2 linked regions of the Lepisosteus oculatus genome follow. The protein of the gene in region 2 interacts with the protein of the main gene of each other region in a biochemical or structural test. Links are inferred from orthologs where the notes say so. Each region holds a gene or a part of one and is shown on either strand. Other genes may lie near its edges.

Region 1 (7,917 bases), about 4.9 Mb from region 2:
CACAAGTAGGAAGCTGCGTCAGCATGCGTAGGCTGCAAAGGAACAAGTAAAGGTTTATTCCATGATGAAAATAAAACAACGTTTTCGGCTGTAGAGTCAGATGGCACTTGAAGAAGGCTCCCCAGCCAAAATGTGTTTCTTTTTTTCTCTTTTTCAGCATTAAATAAATCTTTACATCTTTAACACCTACAAGTCTGAAAATAAATGATCCCCCAGATAAAGTGAACTACTGGACAGTGATACATGTCACAATGAAGCAAGATGTCTTGCTACACAGTGCCTTACAGATCATCACTGGCATCTTTTATTAAACAGGAAACAACCTCTTCCAGCAAACAGACTAGAATACTGAGCAATACATTTATAAGATGTTAGCTTTTAAATATTGTGTAAATTGTGATGGATTATGAGCAAGTATATGGCATTTAATGTCCCTTTTGCACTTTGTTTTTTTTCATTCTTTACACTTATCTCCGTATCCTTGTTTCCCCCAAGACTCGACCGATCCTGAATGTTACCCAAGCAGAATGGCCCAGCTGGCAGCCATCTGCAAAATTCAGCTTGATGAGCAATCAAGGTAAGTTCTAACTAAGGTCATTTAGTGCAATATTTCTTTTCTGTAATGTGGAAATGTTTCTTATTTCCTTATTTAACTTGGTTCGGACAAAGCATCAAACTTTGGTTTTTAATAGCCTTAATGCATCTAAACAAACAAGTAATAGGTTTATTCCATGCTGAAAAAAAAGAAGAAAGAAAACGTTTCGGCCGTGGAGCCTTCTTCAGGTGAGAAAGACAAGACACCTGAAGAAGGCTCCACAGCCAAAACGTTGTTTTCTTTCTTCTTTTTTTCCAGCACGGAATAAACCTATTACTTGTTCCTTTGCAGGCTACACATGCTGACGCAGCTACCCACCTGAACTACTTAATGCTAATACAGTGATAATGCACATACACACCAAAAAACAGTCACCATGGGGGAATCAAAACTTCATTTGTTCAATGCAACTCATTTTTCTACCTCATGAAATAAACTGCTATTTACTTTTGTTTTAGGAAAAGCAAGAAGAAACCCAAACAGACTGTGACACAAGCTCAAAAACAAAAAGGAAAAGCCACCAAAACATCAGGAGCTGTTGAGCAACTAGTAAACGCAGAACAGCAGGATACCAACTCTCAGGCTAAGACCCTTGCGCCATCTACCAGAGCAGTACCTTATCTTCACTGTCAGTATTCTCCCCTCATCCCCATGATACTACCTCAGAACCAGACTGCTGGACCATGTGCTATATATGTGCACTCTTGTGCGCGGCCAGTAGCTAATCGCTCCAGCCTGGCTGTACGATCCATGAGATTTGAAGATAAAGGTGGGGAAAGTCCACCTGACGCTGGCTTAGAAATCCACTGCGACAGGACAGCTTCAGCTTCTGATCCAGAAAATGACTCCTCTCAAAAGAATTGCCAGTCGCCTTGTTCGCTGAACAGTCCCAAGAGGGTCTATAAACGAGCCTGTACTGAAAAGCTTGAAAACTCTTCTCCAAAAAGAAAGAACACCCAGACAAATTCTAGGGTATGTTTTCCTCTTTCTATTTTTGATTCTAAGGGTGTTTCCAGAGCTACAGATAACCTAAAAATATTAGCTACGTTCATTGTTAGCAACTGTCATTCAGAAAAGTTAATTTGTTATATTACTTAAAAAGTGCCTGACCAATAGGTTTAGTCAAGCGTTAAGGAAAGACGTATGTAACTCTCCTGCTTGGTTACCGATGATTCGGTGTCAATTTTCTCAGATGCGACCCGAGAAAATGCTCATTCTTAAGTGAAATTCTCTCCTGATTTTTATCATCAGGGTTCGTCACCCGGTGAAGCAGAGCTATACGAACTCTACCTGGACAAGCTCAAGGCACGCAGGGGATTGGTACCCAACAGACCTTCGCCTAGAGCCTTGCACTTAGATCCAGAGTTTATCAATACCCCGGAGAACAAGGGATCAGAGCAGCTTGACGAAAGTGTGGAGACATTCCTGGAAAAAGAAGAGAAGCTTTCGTGTTCCGACAGCGAAGCAGGACTTACTCCTATACGATCGGTCTCCGTGCCAGAAATCATGGTGCCTTCTGGTCATCTGCACCCTGAGGTAACCAAAGTTTGATATTTCCGTTCCAAATGATATCCACGGATGGGAAAATGTGTTCTGACCATTGATTTTTGTTACATCTGTTGTTCCAGGCACTAGTGCCAGCCGGCTATCTTATTCCCATATCGCAGCAGTCCCTCTTCAGCCTTCAGAGGTCGCGGTCCCCGGACGGAGAAAGCCCCAAGCCCTCAGCTTCACACCACAAGGCTTACCAACCCCCTGTCACAGGTACCGACACGGAGCGAGAAAGCTCACAAGATAGCATTGGAACTCCCGTGTTTCGGAAGTGGTTGAAACCCATTTGACTACCATTCTGTCTTTGCCCCCCTCCCCCACAGGGGCCCTACCTGTGATGTCTTCAGAACTCACCCCTACGAGCTTCACATCGCACGCCACGTTTCAGCACCCCAGCCCCTCCGTCTCCCTCGCCTCCTTTCCAGTTATCAACCAGTCGAGCCCTTCTTTTGCCTCCGGGCAGCACGTGAACAGCCCCAGCCCCGCAATACTGAACTTCACACTACAGAACCTCGGGCTGATCTCGGCTGGAATCCCGCAGGGTGCCAGCCCTGGCACTGTGGCCACCCCCCTGGAGCAGGCCAGCCCCGTCCCAGGACACCTGAGCTTTCAGCCAGGGGGGATGATCTTCATCAAGCCTATGTCTCCAGTCCCGGTTCAGCCTCAGATGCCTGGACAGCATGTTACTTTGATCAGTTTACAGCAGGTGAGAACTAGGACTTGGTTGTTCAAGACCTCTTAAAAGAAGAGAGACAAAAAAATGTTTCACGCTACTATATAGTAATATGCAGTTGTTGATGTAACACATTGTAAATTATTAAATATTTATAGCAGCAGTGAAATACAAAAAAGACGTGCAAACTATGTAGAAATTATTTTTAACCAGTTACAGAAGCAGTCAGAACTGTTTATGTAAAGCATGAATTAACATTAGAGTAAAAGTATCCATTACACACCTTGAAAACTTTGAATCCAAGTTATCAGCTGACTGTAACTGTTTTTATTTTCAAACAGCCTCTTCTGGCAACGCCCAAAGCATCCCAGTGTGCTCAACAGAGCTTCTTCCACACCCCAGTCTCCACCTTGTCTCCCTTGGCTGCTGTGGTCTCGTCTAGTCATTCGTCTCACGAGAACATTTACATACCGCAGAGGAAACTTGAAGTGAGCACTGAAGAAACCTGAAGACTGTAGCAGCAGACCCTCTCTGCACTGTTTTTTTCTTTCATGAGCTGCAAAACGATATTTATAAAGCTTTGACAATTTGACTGTGTGAGTGGGGGGGTGTCCCTTTGCACAAAGGGGTACGCTAGTTCATATTAAATTATTTCTAGGTCCTAAGCACAGACGTGTTCAGGTCCTGCAACACCTGCAGTGAAAGTCATTAAAAAGTTTTGTGGATTTTACAAAACAGATGGATATACCTTCTGAAGACTACAGCCCCTGCTACCAGGTGTCCTCTAATAAAAACTGCAGCATGGAAAAACTTAAAATATAGGGTACCTGCAGGTTTTAGAGTAGTTACAAAACAGCATACTGTATGTACTCTGCTATTTACTTCTTGCAGTTTCTACTGAACCAGACTTGTGCCCCATGATCACTGAAACTAACTGGGCTTGAAAACCTGCAAAAACACAAATACAGTTTACACTGTACATCTTAAAGCACAGACAATGTTTTAACAGTTAATCAACATTTCCACAGGATGAGAAAACATTCACACTGAAGATCTCCATCTTTAATGTTAAACACTAGCTTTTTATACAGTCAGTGCTGTAGCAGAACTGGAGTTTTAAGCAGGAAGTGGCACAGGACCTCGGACCCAATGCATTAATGTACTGCATAATTTTCCAATGCCCATTTAGGATATTCAAAATATGCATGTAGGAATAAACTATGACAAATGTTTCTTATTCAGTAATACAAGTAGCCTTAATAGGACAAATCAAACCGATACATGGATGATTCATGTTTTGCATGTTAGCAAAAAGATGTACGGCACAATGACATTTTGCACATTTTATATGTTAACTGTTACAGTTCTTTAATTGGTATCTATGAAATAAAGATAAAAAATGAATGTATGGGGAAATTTCCTATTAGTGTAATCAGGTGAATTATAATTTCATTAATTTATAGGAAGGATTTTCTTACATTTGTCAATGATCAAAATTGTTAACCTGGACTGCTTTGGTTGGATTGCAGTTGAATTAATTTGATATGTACACATTTACTAAGAAAATAAAGGGGGATTCTTTCTGTTTTCAGCATACAACACCTGTATTTCTTTTCACTGATGAAAATTTCTTAACTAAGGACCCTTCAATACAGCCTACAAATCTGACACATGCAGCTGCCTTCATATTTACACACATGCCCATATTTATCATGAGAACAAATGGCACCCCTAGGGACTTACCAGTTCCCAGCACAAAGCAAAGGATTTGTCAGAAGTTATTTTGGGAAGACCGCTTAATTTGGATGTCAGCTACTGATACCTCCTATAGCTGTGAATGAAAGATGTCCAGTATTTAAGGCTGCCTGGTTTGACATCAACTCAAACCCACCGATCTAAGCAACAGAGAAGGACTACTGGACCCAGGGATCTCTATTTTGTAAGTCTTGGTATTGTTTTACAAAGACTTTCTCATAAAGTATCACAGAATGTCACGTCAAAATATTGAATTCCGTGCTATATCATGAGTTATGTTGGATTAACTGGTTGTAAAATACTTTTGTATTGATTTTGGTGTTAGTAAATTGTAGTGGCAAAATTCCCGTCTCGTCCAAAATATCATTAGAGTTGTGTTTTTAAACATGTAATTAAACCGTGAAACCATTATGGTAGTCCTGATGAAGTCCAGCCGAATAGAATAAAAAACCTGCATACCAGTTAATGTTTTAATAAATTCTTGCCAATATCGTTTTATCTCGGGAGTTAACGTTACATATGTTACTAAACTATTTTTTCCCCTCAAGTCGATTTGTATATTTCGGGAATGAAGCCTCAAACTGCATGAAATCATCTAAATATTTACCTTTAAAGAACCATTGGCATAAGTTCTTCAGTACGTAACTGTGGTCTTTGTACAGACCCTATTCCTGGACTCTTATCGCGGCATTCCAGACATTCAAATTGCTTAATGTCGCTTAATCAATGGAGAGAATAAGTAACTTGCGTGTAGTCTATCAGTCACCCGATACCTTATCGCTCATTTGGGATAAAACTTCACACACATCAAACACTCTTCTGTTCATTCTTATCACTATATAATAAATTGATCATAACGTTTTAAATAACGGGCTAAATTGATTTATTTTCTAGTTGTGTCTTGACGTGTACAAAAACTTGGCACTAATTAATATTTGCCACGCAATATACAATTAATAGTAGATATGTATTACTAAAAGAACTTGGTATACGTTTAAAATACGTTCAATGCTCTGCGAATAAAGATTCAAAAGCAAAATGCTTTTAAGGCCATGAAAATGTCATAACACGCTAAAACACCTTAATGCTAGAACATTTAGAGTAAGCATGCTTGAAACGAATCCCTTATAAAATATTTTTTTAAGTATTAATGGTCTGAAAACGCGGTTCCAATGAGGTATTTAATGATGCGAAGTTGGTAAATACTGTTGTTTCAGGATACAGGTACTGTATGTTGTGCGGTTGTGTGATTTTTCTCTTTTCCAGCAGATCGTTTGAAAAAACAGATTTAAGATGCCGAACTGGGGCGGTGGAGCGAAGTGTTCAGCCTGTGAGAAAACGGTTTATCACGCAGAGGAGATACAGTGCAATGGAAGAAGTTTCCACAAAACCTGCTTTATCTGCAGTGAGTCCTCCGTTTATTCACCACTAATGGTCCACACGGACGACACTTCTCCGTCGCTCATTTTTGTCTTTGGGGGCATTTGGGATGGGTCTGTGCTGAGGGCGCAGGGAATGAACTCTAAACCAAACGTTTGCCCCTTTTTCAAAAAGGCACGCAAATCCTGCGACACCTGTTTCAAGATGTCATTGCAGAAAACAGACGAGCATACAGTAGTTTAGAGACGCCAGTTAACCTAAAAAGCGTGTCATTGTACTGCGGGATGCAGTCGCCGCACAAAAGCACCCCTGGGCTCCGAATTGAAACCCAGGATTTAAGAGCTTGCAGGGCAACAGACCTATCCAGCTCTTCATCACGTGTTATGAACTGTAGCCCATAATTAAATTGCAAGTCTGACATTTGGGCTGCAATCGGTAATGTCATTGAATCCCAAATGTCCGTGTAATTAATTGCCGTTCAGGCTGTGCTCCGTCTGTTGCGGCAAATTAAAAAGTTTACCCTCCGAAACAAAAATGGAATTAGAAACCAGGTTATACTGGCCAATAGCTCAACATCAACAGCGGACAATTTTGCATGCAAGGGAATTTGGAGACTGGCACAATATTAACTAAAATATCTGTTATCTTCACAGCGACCTTCTTTGGCTACTTAACAACGTAGCACCGAGGTGTGGAAATCACCAGGGCTCAATCTGAATGATGCTAGCTCTATCTTTAGCAGGCCAGGCAAAGGTCATGTGTGACATTTATAAATAGCTTTCATTGTCAGGTTTGACGCCATTTTATTTTTGTGACCACGATAAGTCAAGTTTTTAACTAAATTTAAATTTACCTTTTGGCTAGCAAACGGTACTTTTATGTACAACATACCCCAGGATGAAGCATCATACTGACAGGCAGCGACCAAATAAAAAAAACAACAACAACAACAACAACAAATGTTTTGCAGCTCCCGTCTTCTAAGAAAGCTTTACCTTTGTTTCTTCTAGTGGTCTGCAGAAAAGCCCTTGATAGCACAACGGTAGCAGCACACGAGTCTGAAATTTACTGCAAGACCTGTTACGGGAAGAAGTATGGTCCAAAAGGCTACGGCTATGGACAAGGTGCGGGAGCACTCAGCTCAGACCCCGGAGAGCACCTGGGGATTCAACCGCAAGAGTACGTGAAGGGAATTCATCCAGCAGATCAAATACCATTTTCAATTTCCTGTTTACCTAAACTACAGCACTAAATAAGTGTCCCAAAGTCCAGTGCCAAATGCGCAAAAGTGTTCCTTGTACGCGAAGTCATCCGCGTATTTTTGGAGCTCACTTTGCAACTTCAAAGGCAATAGTCAGCTTCTGCGTCTTCAGTAGAACCGAGTTTAGTCAAATCCATCAATTGCCCTCTGCAGCGTAATACGTTTTTTTTTCCCCTGAGGTTTATCAAGTTAATATGAACTACACACTTCTCCAAACGGTTCGAATTTTGCCAGGACGCCTGGTTCAACCGTGAAACGCACCTGAGAAGCTACCGGACTGAATGCGTCCTGAACAGACCCGGAGTAGTGATCAGGGTCACCTGGAAATTATGTTTGAGACTGATTTGCTTGAGGCAAAATCCTCCGACGCTCAAATATTGAATGGGAATCACTCCATCTTGTTTTCGTAATGAGCAGATTTTAGTCTCCTTAAATAGGAATGGCCTAAATTCAAAGGGATATTACTTTACAATACATTCCGAAAACACGGAATACCATGCATAACAAAAATCCGTATTTTCAACCTTCTCAAACCGAGAGATTATTAATTAAAAGTAATCTACTACAGTGACGAGCTACACGTGTAAGTGATTACATTTGAGAATAAACCAAGACGTTGGGGGGAAAATCATTTGAAAAGCCATGAGTTAGAGATCCATTTTACGTGTGTATTGTTACTATGTTGTAAAATGTTATATTCCG
Region 2 (7,215 bases):
GGGCTTCTTGGTAAAAAACAAGGTTTATCACAATATGGTGATTTTAGACCAGAACCTTTGTGCCAAAACTGTGAAGTGGAAAACGTCGGACTCTTTCTTAATCATCCACCCACTTCCTTAGCCATCAGGGTCACGGGGAGCTGGAGTCTATCCCGGCAAGCAACGGGCATGTCCCGATCATATTACACACAAAATTAGCATATTGATGTTAGGGACAAACTTTACAATTCCCATAGGATGGCAAATTGAATTTAATTAGGCTGTTAGTAGGTCAATAGGCTGTGAGTGTGAAAACTGCCACTTAAGGTGAATACTTTGTTACACCTGGTAGAATAGCTACTTTTAGTGAAAAATATCTAGCCTATATCTACAGGTACAGCCTGTAAAATCATACTTTCTTTTCAGAAAGAGTTTAAGTACTTCTAAAACAGGGAGCAGGAAGCGCTCCTTTAGACAAAGGGGTGTGGGGGTATGGAACAAACTACCCAGCTATGTTGATGGAGCCGATACTCCGTCTTATTTTGAGAGAAGGGTGAATGAAATTCTTGGATCAACAACTAACTTATAGCCCAACAAATACGTCATTTTTAGTTCTAACTGAAAACTGAAAAGCAATCCTAAAACAGATTAATTTCTGTTGATTTTTTTGTATGTAGGATTATGACGGACAGATAGAAAAGGATGACCAAGACTAAAAATATTGCATAGGTTCAACCGCGTGAAAGAAAGCTTGGGTCTTTGATGAAGCAATGGTGATTAAATGCAGTAGCTAGTATTACATCTATTTAAATATGTAAAAAAAAAAACAATCAGAGACTGGATACAACTGTGAAATGTTAGTCTTTCTAAATGCTTTTATGTTACAAAGCGTATTCAGAACAGAAGACAGCTTTATGGGTTTTATTCGCTCACTGACAATGCGATATAAACATTAACAGAACATGAGCATACTGTATGGCTTCTATTGCCGTAGACGTAAAGATATTGACTAGGTACACTGTCGTGTTTTACTGAAGTCAGATGTGATTTTCCTTAAATCTTGCATTCAACACAATTATAGTGATAAAAAAGTATCAAATAATCCGAATGCTCCTTAATCCAGGCTCTGTTAATGACATCGAGCGAGTGGGTTATTGCTTTTTAGTAAAACCATATAAATGGTTGCGAGAATCTCGCAACAGCTTTTATTCATTCGCATTTTAAAAATATTCATTTTGGGGTGTAATAATATTATAATAAAACTGCTTTATTCATAGAGGTGGTACTGATAAATTTATTGTTAATGAGCTTGTTTGTATCTTTTGTTTAAAAGTCCTTATTTCCTCTGCAGAACCGATTACACTGAATTCTAACTGTTATTACTACTAATAATTACAATTTCAAAGCGCTAAACTATTAAAGAGGGGTTAATTAAAAAAATAATACTACAATAAGTGTTATCAAGTGCTTTAAGTACTACTTGATGCCAAACAATGGGACTTGAGACTGCACTACAGTATACAGCAAACTACCCCTCTTTCCTGTCCTCTGTTCACTGCGATATCCGTTTGTATACCGGTTCCGCGCGTTTAAGTCGGAAGACGTTGTTGACTGCCCCTACCTAGACAGTTCTCCTTGTTTTCTAATTAAATTTCCCACCTCTTATTAATTAATAATAATTCCTTACACTTACGTTCCCAGAAATGGGCGAACACGAACACTAATAAACAGATCTAATTGCACATTTGTAGATGACCAGGTGCCTTTTGTTTAAAATAACACCCGACACGCATTAATATGATTGTCCCAGGAAATATTAAGCAGCGACGTTTTGATTAAAATTCCTTCAAGCGGTTATTCGTTACACGACATTAAACGCTCACCGGCTTCAGATAAATTTAAACCTTTTCAAAATGTTACTGAATTGTGTTTGTATTGTGGAATCGCTGTAAAGTTTTAAAGTTGTGATAAAGAACTTTGTAGATCATGTATTTTTTTCTTCAATTGTAGATTGGATAATTATTGGGTTATTAATGCTAAACAACTACTTACTGTAACTAAGCTGTTCCGTATTTAACCCGAATATTAGGAACCCCGTCTTTCGTCCTGAAATAAAAATGCCCACAATGAAAAGAAATCCTTACTCATATATAAACTGTTAGACTTTGTCTTATTATGATTGCTCTTTTATTATTATTATTTTATGATTGCTCTATTATTTCAATAAAATCGTTTAACATTTTTTCTAGACGTAATATGTAAAGAAATGAACCCAAAAATGTATAGAATTGTACGACTTCAAGGTGTGTATTTCCTAAGGAAATTAATACAACGAAAAAATACATTGTTCTACATACATTGGTACATTCGTTAAGATGTGGCGATACACCCGAGATCTTGCATTGTTTTAGGATTCTGTAAATTGCCTGCCTGGCTTTTAAACCTGTACATAACAAAGGGAACCCTGACAGAATCAGGAAAAGAAACTTAAACCCAATTTAACTCATGGATTTGTACCCTGAATGGTGTATGAGCTAATTGGCTAACCACGATTTACATTCTAATGTTTGATGATACAGTATTCTACAATAAAGCTACCTTTAACGAAATATAAAGCACATATTCCTTTTTAGGGTGATTTTTTGTTGGTTTAATCACGGAACCTTGCACTTTCTTACAGGCCAACAAAAAAAAATCGGATCGTGGTAAAATTTAAAATGAAAATAGGACCTTTGAAATAACGTAGGTTTCTCTCGCTGTTTTTCAATGAGACAGTGTATGGTGCTAAAACAAGTAAACTTTGGGGACGAATGTACTTTTCCAGATACTTTTTTTTTAATACGTATATACAAATACTATAAGGTAGGCTTGAGATGTGCGTTAAGTGGGAACGATCTATTCGCTTTACCTCGACTCTTTACTGCCATCTAGTGGCGCATGATAAAACTCACTACCTGAGAGCAGAAGGGTGCTGTCATCGGAAACTTCAGGGCTACGGTTGTTGTATCTGGTGATGCGGCATCTTTCTTCACAATAAAACATAATACAGAAATAACTTCGTTAAAATGAATTAAAATAATTCAGCTTTTAATAAAAATATAATATAATATGGTTTAAATATCCAACTATTTATGGAATGTTATTATGAAATTTAAAACCTCAAGAACCGTTCAGGAACGACACGCTTATTAGAATTAAATCTAAAGAGTTATAAATAAGAAGGCACCGTGAAAAATGTATGATCAATCTTGTAAAAAATACGGTTTCGATTTAAAAGGAAGTAATGTAGTCGTTTAGCATATTTTATAACCCAAGGGTGCTTGTGGTAATGAGAACACTTTCTAAAAAACTTTTCGAATAAAACATTTGAGTTAAAACATTCACGATTAAACCAGTCAGCAAGTTGATACTGTATATAACCTATTTGACGATAAATGAGAGAGTGAGATCAACATTTCAAATAAGTGAAAAACTACCCCCTTCTGAGAAAACTAGCTGTTAAAGGCTGAAATTAGAATAAAAAAGAAAACCATCTAAAACGATAAAGGACAACATCGAAACGTCCATGTTTTCCAGTATCAAAATAAACCCGTTAGTGAGATAAACCCGGTCTGACAATAAGAAAGAAAAGCTGTTCAGTGATTTGCTTCAAATAATAATAAAAATTATCCCTGAGCATTTCTAAGGTTAGTTTGTGAACTTTTAAACTTGATAATGTAGAAAAATATTTTTTTGAAAGACCCTTCAATAAAAAGGCGTAATGGCCAGTTTAACAAGTATACAGAAGCTTATGCGAGTCGCAAAATAATTCGTGTATCCAAACACATCAGCGGTCTATTCTGCTTTATGTATTATTTTCTCGGGGGTGAGTTGAATAGATGGTTAACAAAAATGCGCTCCCTAAAACATGATAAAAATGATGTTTTTATTACTAAAATTCAAAAGTTGTGCGTGATCCCCTTATCACCCGCGGTGTTTTCTCTTTCCTGAACATTCTCCAGGATGACACCGGAGAGGAGAGGGGAACAGCGAACTCCTCCCAAGAGGCTCGCCCGTGCCCTGCCTCTCTCCGTGCTCATTGGTCACTGCAGAGAGGTGTCCGAAAGCCAAGATACGCCCAAGAGCTGCAAGTCCTCATAAATAGAGCAAAAAACACATGCTCAGCAACAGGTACCCAAAGGGTGCTTTAAGCAGGCAGTCCTGGAGACAAGCACTCACCATCCTTGGTTTTAACGTCACGTCAAGTTCTACATTTAAGACGCGTTCGGGGTTTTTGTTTTTGTAACATTTGAAGAACTGAAGTTAAACTTTACTCCTAGAAGAGAAAGGCAAAAGCCAAAGTAAACTTTTTCGTTGTTGTTTTTTTGTTTTGTTTTCTGGAGGCAGAAATCAGCCCTTCACCATGGAGTTATCGGATATCACTTTTCCCATCACCAGCGCTGACGACTTCTACGATGACCCGTGCTTTAACACCAGCGACATGCACTTTTTCGAAGACCTGGACCCCAGGCTGGTTCACGTGGGCTTGCTGAAGGCGGACGACCACCATCACAACGAAGACGAACACATTCGGGCTCCCAGCGGGCACCACCAGGCGGGCCGATGCCTGCTCTGGGCTTGCAAAGCCTGCAAGAGGAAGACCACCAACGCCGACCGCCGGAAAGCGGCCACGATGAGGGAGAGGAGGCGGCTGAGCAAAGTGAACGAGGCGTTCGAGACCCTGAAGAGGTGCACATCCACAAACCCCAACCAGAGGCTACCCAAGGTTGAAATTCTCAGAAACGCCATTAGCTACATTGAGTCCCTACAATCCCTACTCCGAGGTCAGGATGAAAACTACTACCCAGTACTGGAGCACTATAGCGGGGACTCCGACGCGTCCAGCCCCCGGTCCAACTGCTCGGATGGAATGGTGAGATGATTTTAATGATTTTAACATAGTGAGATTTGCCATCGTAACTTAGTGGCGCGTTGGTTTGACTGTAAACTTCATGCGATTCATGTGCGTTGTACCGCAAGCCGAACATTTCGAAATGTCTTTCTTCCAGATGGATTTCGGCGGCCCAACATGCACTTCGAGGAGAAGAAACAGTTATGACAGCGCTTACTTTTCCGAAACTCCAAATGGTAAGTGTCAGGCTAGACCCATCCGGCTGCAGCTGTTTGTTTTTCCTTTAGAAGGACGGGATAGCAGGCTTGGGAATCATACAGTATCGTCTGACATTAGTTGAGATGTTTTATTGTGGCCTTCTAGCAAGTGTAACGGGAATGCTGGTCTCAAGAATGACCATGTCAGCATATAGGTATACACATATGTAAAGCACGAACTTAGTCAGAAGGATGTTTATGCATGAGTACATTTCAGATCCCGTGAAATCAGTTCCGTTAGCAGCACAACGTCACAATTATTTCTTATATCTTCAGATTCCAGGACTAGTAAGAACTCGGTCATTTCCAGCTTGGATTGTCTGTCCAGCATCGTGGAGCGCATTTCAACAGACACCTCGACGTGCCCGGCGCTGCCCGCGCAGGACGGGGGCGAAGGCAGCCCCTCGTCACCCCGAGAGGGATCCATCTTGAGTGAAGCCGGGGCGCCCGTCCAGTCCCCCACCAACTGCACTCAGCTGGCCCACGACCCCAACCCCATCTACCAAGTGTTATAAATGCGCCGGGTTTCTCCCGAAATGACTGACGAACAAACTATACATTCTTTAACGAACGATTATTCCTCTAAAGACGGTGGACAAAGTTACCACGTTTCTGACTAAACCGGGGAATGGTTGCCATTCTCTTCCTATTAATAGAAAGGTGTTCCAATGCCTTAAAGGCGACATATCCCTTTTCATGCCATTTCAGTATTGATTGATTTACAGTATTATATCAGATGCACTGTCAAAGACTAACAAGAAAATGTGAATACTTACGTCAGAAAACTCTGGCGAAGAGAAATGTATTTGTGTCAACAAACAGTATTTATAGAACAGCATGTTTTTCCTAAAGGAGATTTGGGTCATGTGGTACAGATCCGTATCAGGGCTGATATGATAAGCGGTGTCATTTATTAATGCCATTATAAAGCGGTACCGCTCTAGATCATTTCATCTCGGAAACAAAGTCATCTCCGCAAAGTATTTCCACTTTATATAAAAAAAAACAAACAAAAAGCCAAAACGAAACTCATCTGGAGAATGTGGACCATTTTTGTAATGTATACTTGTAAATAAGAGCTGCTTTGCTTAAAATGTTTAAATATTTAATGTTGCTTGTTTATAGAGTCGCTTGGTTTGTTGTGTCAAATCTTTAACTTTATATTTATATATCTTAAAATCTGGGTGAATGTCACAGTTTAAATAAAGAAACCAACACGAATATTTATATATAAATGACGTGGTCTGTTTTATCTTTTTTACCTTGTGAATTCTTTGTTGACAAAATCACAATTTAGGCTAATAATAATAATTTAGGCAGTATAAAGATGAAGAACGAATTGAAGGTAATTGTTAGTAGGGAACAAACGACAGTATATTCGTTATTTGTTGCAAATGCTTTTACATATATTGCTTTTACATTATTCTAATTGAAATAATATCTAAACGTTTAGATTGGGGATACTCTGTCATGTACATAAAACATCAGAAGTAATATCAATTTTATTTTAAAGACACTGTACTGCTAACTGTGTGTTTATATGATTATATAAGTAAGATTTTACACGCCATTCTTTTAATAGGTCGCCTGTTATTTTGGTGAACATGCACAACAAGATTTTTCATTTTTTGCGAGAAGACAATTTTTAATCTTCACATCCGGTTTACAAGAATAAGTGATCTTTAAGCTATGTGTCCGTTGAACTCCGTAGGATTTATCAACGATTCGTTTGTACGTAGCAAAAACTTATACTGTCTGAATATCTTGAGCAAATAACTTTAAAAAACCAGGTATATAGAAAGCACAAAATATTCAAATTCTTTCGATTTTAGCTTAAATACGAATAAACTCCATTTATGATAAAAAAATAGCTTAATAGGTAACCTTCTTTGGAAAAGAGCAGTCATCAATGGCAAGAATATTCCCTCGAAATCGGTACATTTTGAGAGGGGTGATGGCAACAGTTCTGTCGAAAATCAACTGTTCAAATCTGAAGGCAGAACTATTTTGGAGAAAAAAAACTACTGAACGTTATCAAGAGAACTCGTGTAGAGTCGTATGCAGTTCATATTCTAATCATTGTAATAT

Evidence for each region.
Region 1: the proteins of myod1 (region 2) and csrp3 form a complex in vitro, tested with the Homo sapiens proteins (2 studies listed by BioGRID and IntAct, with this or other methods). The link is inferred for Lepisosteus oculatus from reciprocal best matches to the Homo sapiens genes MYOD1 and CSRP3.

Annotation. Positions count from the first base shown.
Region 1 is NC_090716.1:7,308,973-7,316,889, forward strand, and holds the start of csrp3 (cysteine and glycine-rich protein 3), read left to right. Parts: upstream 1-4,610; 5' UTR 4,611-4,758; intron 4,759-5,840; 5' UTR 5,841-5,867; coding exon 5,868-5,979; intron 5,980-6,964; coding exon 6,965-7,133; intron 7,134-7,917. Other genes in the region: transcription factor E2F8, read left to right, coding at 496-577, 1,054-1,567, 1,847-2,131, 2,224-2,359, 2,470-2,852, 3,161-3,328. UniProt on the Homo sapiens protein: Positive regulator of myogenesis. Acts as a cofactor for myogenic bHLH transcription factors such as MYOD1, and probably MYOG and MYF6.
Region 2 is NC_090716.1:12,164,828-12,172,042, reverse strand, and holds myod1 (myoblast determination protein 1 homolog), read left to right. Parts: upstream 1-3,943; 5' UTR 3,944-4,381; coding exon 4,382-4,891; intron 4,892-5,027; coding exon 5,028-5,106; intron 5,107-5,403; coding exon 5,404-5,642; 3' UTR 5,643-6,360; downstream 6,361-7,215. UniProt on the Homo sapiens protein: Acts as a transcriptional activator that promotes transcription of muscle-specific target genes and plays a role in muscle differentiation. Together with MYF5 and MYOG, co-occupies muscle-specific gene promoter core region during myogenesis.